2 linked regions of the Arabidopsis thaliana genome follow. The protein of the gene in region 2 interacts with the protein of the main gene of each other region in a pairwise test. Each region holds a gene or a part of one and is shown on either strand. Other genes may lie near its edges.

Region 1 (2,965 bases), on a different chromosome or scaffold from region 2:
TAAAGATCTGGGTGTATATCGCTATTTAAACCTGCTGAATAGAGGCCACACAAGGATATGGTGCTCCCGTGTTTTGTAAGCTTCGAATCCAAGCTATGTGGCCTTGGCGGCCGTCTCCTCGTGCTAATAAGGTAACCTGAATCTATGTGCATTCTTCTGTGTCTTGTCATGTTATGTTGATGTTATTGCTGGTTACTGTCAAGTTAGTAAACAGTTCAATAACTCCCACATTTTGCAACACTTTGGTGTTCTGTTTGCGTGGATTTTGTGATACCTTGGGGCATTTTCTAGCATTTGTTTACCTAGCAGTGATCATAGCACAGGATTGATTCAGCGAAATGCATAGGCAGTACAACATCTATAAGACCTGCTAGCTTGAGTGTAATTATTCCCAACAATATCCTTGTTAATGCATTTTTCGAAGATAGTGAGTTCTGTTCTAGGTACATCTGGTATTGTTAATGTTGTATCATAAAGGTTAAAGTATTTTGACGATTATATGTTACACATATCAGTTTATTCATAGAAGAATTTTCATAATTAAGAATGTACAATCAGCAGAATAGAGTCGTATACAAACACTTTCAGCCCAGTACAATTTTTGACTCTGTTTCCTCTGCATTGCCCGTATCTATTTTGGGTAGAACTGTTTTTGGGCGGAGATAAACACCAATGTACTGTAGTCCCGAGGCATCATAAGTCCCATGGAAACCGCCGAACTGAGGAGATTTCCCGAGTTTAAAAGCAAATTTGTCGTTGCTCGAACCGGAGGTGCCAAAAGGACCGTACTCGCTAGTGTTGGTATTGAATTTGAGAGACCTCATGTGAGGATTGTTGGCTTCATACTTGTAATACTCTCCACTGATTCCAGTTATGTACTCATGCGGATAGTTGAGCTCTATCTGCTGGGTCCAAATCACATATTAAGTTATAAAAAAAAAGTTATAACCATGTTCTTAGCATTTTAGTTGGAAGTAGAAATTGTGACGGAGAAAAAAGAAGAGTCAAAAATCAGACTTACAACGTCAAACATGTTGCCGGAAAATGGACCGTGACGATCGGATAAAACGAGTTTTCCGTCCATCACGAACTGGAATTGGATAGACATAATTCCAGCGACGCCATGAGATAGAAAAATCTGAGAGATGAAGCCATCGTGAGATCCTTCGTCCCAGTTTACAATTGTAGTGCTTCTAGCATCATGCTTCCCTACAGGTCCTATCTTCATTTTCCCTTTCTTTTTTTTTGTACGACCAAAACTCAAAAGCTCTTTTGTTTGGTTACATAACGAAAATAGCATAACATTAATATATATACATGTAGAGATTCAAAGTTCTCTAACTCTGAAGTCTCAGATTGGAATATGCCTATCCAATTTGATATTAGTAATTCATCTTACGATTCATTGTTTTATTGCATTTATCTTTGCTTCTTCTCTCCATTACCCAATTTGTTTTAATGAAATGACTAATAGATTTGTTACTAGAGATTCTTTAAGATAATGTTCTTATTTTGACGCCTCAGATTGGAATATTCGTTTACAATCTTGCATAGCTTCATCTAGCAAATTATTTCCTTTCTTTCATTTGCTTTGACAAAGAGTCGAATTTTGAAAGAATGTATTGTCGGATGAAAATTATGTAATGCAATGATTATCTTAGTCTGTTAAAACGATTTACTACGTTGGTCGAGACATAAGTATAGTTTTTTCTAATGTCATTACAATTTCAATTGTATTTGGCTGTTTTTAAAGACAAAAATATTCAAGTTTTATACACATATTTAGACTATATGTATTTAACTCAAAATAGGGTTTTATTTGCACGCCTCAGTAGTCATGATTAATAAGTTATTTATATACATAAATCTTGCAGGATAATATGTATTTATTTGAATGTCTCATATTAGAATTATTTCAAAGAAAAAGGATTCTAGTAATTATTAAAAAAACTTGGTGCGGAGGATTCTAGTAATTTTTGATTAATACATTTAAGAGAATTTTAAATTAGCAAAATGTTTTTCCGGATGGAGGTTATCCCAAAAACATCTTCTGATAGAAAAATAAATCTGTGAGATGTCGTTGTTGAGACTTGAGAGTTGAGACCATATGGTCCCTATATTGAGGATTAATTGTGTTTGTGGGAAAATATATTCCCTGCTGGGCAACGAGGAATATGGTTGAACCAATGATTATTTATATGCTTAATGCATGTGTATATATTTACAGACGCATCACACACACGTAAAGTAATTTTATTCATACAAAGTTCGAAAGATATTGATATAAACGCATGTAGAGGCTGAAGAAGGTTTAAGATTAATACACAATTTCATTTAACCCAAAACAATGTTTGACTCAGTTTCCTCTGCATTGCGTGTACCGGTAGGTTTAACAATTGTTGGTTGGAGATAAACACCGATATTTTGTAGTCCCGAGGCATTATATGTCCCATAGAAACCGCTGAACTGGCGAAATTTCCCTAGTTTGAATCTGAACTGTTGTTCGTGATTCCAAATCGAAGACTGAGAGCTCGAGCCGCCAAAAGGACCGTACTGATTAAGGTTGGTAGCAAATGCAAGAGACCTTATCTGAGGGCCGCTAGCGCCATCGGACTTGAGATACTCTCCACTAATTCCTGTTATGTACTCATGTGGGCAGTTCAAAAGTATCTGCATAGCCCAAAATCCACATTTTAATTTATATTAACCATGTTCGTGAGATCAATATATATAATTAAGTACATTAAGTTGTTGTTAGTAAATTTCGAATCTAGTGATTCGTGTACTAATGAAGAAAAACAAAAACAGAACACACTCACAACGTCAAACATGCTGCCAGTATTCTGACCGTGGCAGGAGGATAAGAAAAATGTATCGTCGAGCATGAACTGGAACTGGATAGAGAAAACACCGGTGGGACCATGAGATAGAAATATTTGAGAGATGATTCCATTGTGACTTCCTT
Region 2 (4,071 bases):
AAGGACTGCGCGTTTACGCGTTCCAAAAAATAAATACATAAAATAGATTCGTTAAATCAAAACTTGGATTAAATAATTAAGATGCGTAGATAATTCTGATAAAGTAGTACGCACGCATTTTCAAAATAAAACTTGCAAAAACCTTAAGAGTAAAGCGTTAAGACTTATTTGATACTTGATTCACAAGTAACGACGAGAGAAACCTAAAATCTCCAACACAAGGAAGGTGCTGAAATAAGGAATGGAGAAGTAAAAAGACTAATGATTTATGATTCATGCATTCAAACAACATCCCTGAAACTAATTCGAACTTTAGAAGCCAAAGCGGCAGCTTTCTCTTTCTTAAGTTCGGATTCCAAATCAGACAAAGCCAGCTTTCGCTTCTTGATCTGTTCCTCGAGTTCTTTGATCCTGGGACCACTAACTCTCTGTTACTCCTTCTTCAAGTAAGCCTGAAGCAACTTCTGACGCAACCAAACCACTTTCAAGCCTGCTCTAGTAAGACCAAAAAGCGTATTCGATATGCAAGTCATTATGTTGAATTTGTTTTGAGTAATATAGATTCTATACTCTCTATATATGATCAACTCTTTACAGAAATCAAGAGAGTTACATTTTACAACATTGTGGATATATACAACACAGGGTCTCTTTTATCTTCCTAAGTTTTAAGAGGACTCATTAGCAAGAACATCCCACAACACCAAGTAAAACCAAACTCCAAGTGTCTTAAAAACACAAGAAGCATCAAACAATATCATCGAATGAGATAGGAGCTTTTGCAGTCGACACTTTTGCCTTCTCCTTCTCAACCAGAGCTTCCATTTCTAAACACTTCTGCTTCATGTCCTTCAACTCTTCCTCCATTTCTTGCAGCCCAGTCTCACTAGCCTCCTCATTCTCCTTCTTTTCTGACACTTCATAAAGTTTCTTCTCCAACCAATCCAGTTTAAATCCAGCATCTCTCATGGATCCCAGTGCATCGTAAGCATCCAACAGATCATCCTTTGACATTTGCTGAGGTAACTGGCTCAGAGTCTCAATCAGACTGAGTAGTAGACTCATGTAACCTGTCCTGAGATTTGGGTTCTTTGGACGTAAATCAGATGCAAGCTCTGGGTGTTTTGCAAACATACGACTCACAGATTTTGCCTGTGAGTGAAAAAGGTGAAAATGAAGTAGAATGCATATCCAAATAGAAGTTCCCGGAGACACCACAAAAGCACCATATCATAGAACAAACACATCGTGTTTTCTCTCGTGGATAAAATTTCTACACAAAATGATGTTATTTTCTTACTTGTGAAGGAAGGAGTTGAAAGCCATTAACATCCACAGTTTCCGTGATTGTTGAAGTTTCCTCTGTCACATCTAATTTGCCAATAGTTTCAAGAACTTTGATCTCGACAACAATCTTAAGTTCCCCGTTTAACAGAAATCCGCTATCTTTGGCATGAATTTCATTTAGGGGACACATGGATGAAAGACCCCAGTTGGTAGTCTTCTCATCAAACCACTGTTCTAGTTCTGTAAAATCAATCACACACAAAAAAAAATAATAATAAAAAAAATTAGAGAGGAACTCTTGCAAAGCTAGCAGTGGTAATAAGTTCTTACCATTAAGTTTTGACTGAGAGAGTTTATCTGATAATTGATTTACTAGAGTTAGACGAAATTTAGTGTGTCTTCTCCATCCAGAAGGCAGAGAAGTAGGAACAGCAACACCAAGAAACAAGGACAAAGAATTAGCATTATTATATCCCTTGGGATAGGCCCGTAGATGCCTGAACAAAAATAAAAGAAAACAAAAGATATCAAGGAAACCTAAAATAGACTAAAAACATAAGAAAAATTCTTACCATTTGCAGCCACCAACGACAAAATGATCAGAATAAATGAGGTCAGATAGCAAAGAGGCGAAATTTTTAATTGTCCAAGTGATCTTCTTATCGAATTGCTTCCCCATTGATACTTGGTGAAGCTTCCTCTGCAATCAAACTAACAGAACATTTAAAAAATTAAAAAGCAAATCAAAGAAAAAACTAGCACAACATGAAGAGAAGAAAACCCTTGGAATCCAAGCTGAGATCTCAACTAACAATATCAAGCAGCATATCTATATATATGGTTTCGAAGCCTCAAAAGTTTGATGATTTGTTAATCATTTAGATTACGTACATGAGGGATACGAATCGCTTGCGGATCCTCTTAGGGTTACTTGGAGCATGGGCAACCTAGATTCTGTCTTTGGGGAAAAGGGATAACTTTTGAACGAATCTTCTTTCTCTTTCTTTCCATCTCGATGAGATTCTTCTTCTTCCTCGTTCTTATCTCGACCATATTCTTCAGACTCTCTCATGTCAGCTACTTCTTTCTCCTCTCAATTTATTTCCCTTATTTTCTCTCATGTATTTTGATTTTGGTACTTTTTTTAGACAAAGCTGTGATCATATTTTTTTTGTCATCATAACAGTAACTCAGATATTAAAAATTTGTAAAAAGAATTTTGATGAAACAATGATAGCAGAAACTGTTCCAAAAAGGTGAAATAACGTAGCAGTTGTTAATTTATCTAAACAAAACCACAATGCAAACGAACAGACCAAGGAGAATAAAATCTCTATCTCAAAAATATTAAAAAACATCATTGAATGATAGAGGAGATTTTGCAGCAAAGACCTCTGCTTTCTCCTTCTCCAGCTGAGCTTCCAGGTCTAAGCATTTCTGTTTCAAACTTTCCAGCTCTTCATTGATTTCCTGCATCCGAGTTTCACCAGCCTCCTCTTTATTCTTCTTTTCTGATATCTCAACAAGTTTCTTCTCCAACCAATCAACCTTAAATCCAGCATCAGTTATGGATCTGAGTGCAACATATCCCTCAGCTAGATCAACCTTGTTGAGCTCCTGAGGCGACTGGCGCAGAGTCTCAATGAGACTGAGTAGCAAGCTCATGTAACCTGCCCTAAGATTTGGGTTCTTTAAACGGAATTCAGATGCAATCTCTGGGTGTTTTTCAAACATATGCCTCACAAAGTCCACCTGAGAGTTACAAAATAGAATCCATAAATATTGAACACATCATGTTGTCTCTTGTTGTTGAATATATTCTACACAAAACGTTAGTAGCATTCTTAATTTTAACCTGTGAGGGAAGAAGTTGAAAGCCATTAAAATCCATGCTTTCCATTATTGTTGAAGTTTCCTCTGACACATCGAGTTTCCCAATAACTTCAAGAACCTCTATCTCGGCAACAATCTTGAGTTCTCCATTAACCAGAAACCCGCTATCTTTGGCATTGATTTCATTTAGAGGAAACATGGATAGGCGACCCCAGCGAGGAGACTGCACATCAAACCACTTTTGTTCTTCTGTAAAATCAGAAACAGAATTTATATAATCACTCCATTTACGTGCAAACAAAGGACTAAATGAATTATATATGTTTCTGTGGATTGAACAACAATGCTAACAACTAATACAACAGTAACACCATGATCCCACACAAACACCCTTGAGCAACATTTAACTCAAGTCCCAAAACGAGTCTCACAAATCACCACTCACCAGATATACGATGTAGCAAAACAAAATGTTTGTGTTTGTGATCATTAAAATATATTTGGAGAAAACAGTAGTGAGAAGAAATAAGTACCATTTTGTTTGGAACGTTTCACCGAATTTTGATTTACTACATTTAGGAGATATCGGGCATGTCTTCTCCATTCGGGTGACAATGATTCATAATCAGCTACTTCCAAATACAGAAATAAGTAATCAACATTATTTCCCTTGGGATAGACAAGAAAACGCCTGCAAAAATAAAGTCTAATTAATAAGAGAGTCAGCAAAACTGTGTAGAGGATCAATCACCGAAGGAAAACGCCTTACCATTTACATCCACCGACGATGAATGGATCAGAATAAATTTTCTTTGAATGTAAAGATGAAAAATTCTCGATAGCCCAAGTGATCTTCTTAGCAAGTTGCTTCCCCATTGATCTTGGCAAAGATTATTCTGCAACCAAAATACCATAACGTGAAGAGAAAAAAAAAACCTAAAAAACTTTTTT

The links. Proteins that work in one complex are often made in the same cells at the same time.
Region 1: the proteins of RTM3 (region 2) and RTM1 interact in a two-hybrid assay, tested with the Arabidopsis thaliana proteins (one study listed by BioGRID).

The regions. Positions count from the first base shown.
Region 1 is NC_003070.9:1,723,213-1,726,177, forward strand, and holds RTM1 (Mannose-binding lectin superfamily protein), read right to left. Parts: upstream 1,323-2,965; 5' UTR 1,301-1,322; coding exon 1,022-1,300; exon of another isoform or gene 903-1,021; coding exon 585-902; 3' UTR 522-584; downstream 1-521. Other genes in the region: AT1G05770 (Mannose-binding lectin superfamily protein), read right to left, coding at 2,335-2,670, 2,820-2,965.
Region 2 is NC_003074.8:21,590,871-21,594,941, forward strand, and holds RTM3 (RESTRICTED TEV MOVEMENT 3), read right to left. Parts: upstream 2,069-4,071; 5' UTR 1,967-2,068; coding exon 1,860-1,966; intron 1,785-1,859; coding exon 1,618-1,784; intron 1,528-1,617; coding exon 1,301-1,527; intron 1,153-1,300; coding exon 748-1,152; 3' UTR 539-747; downstream 1-538. Other genes in the region: AT3G58360 (TRAF-like family protein), read right to left, coding at 2,635-3,039, 3,143-3,369, 3,654-3,811, 3,890-3,996.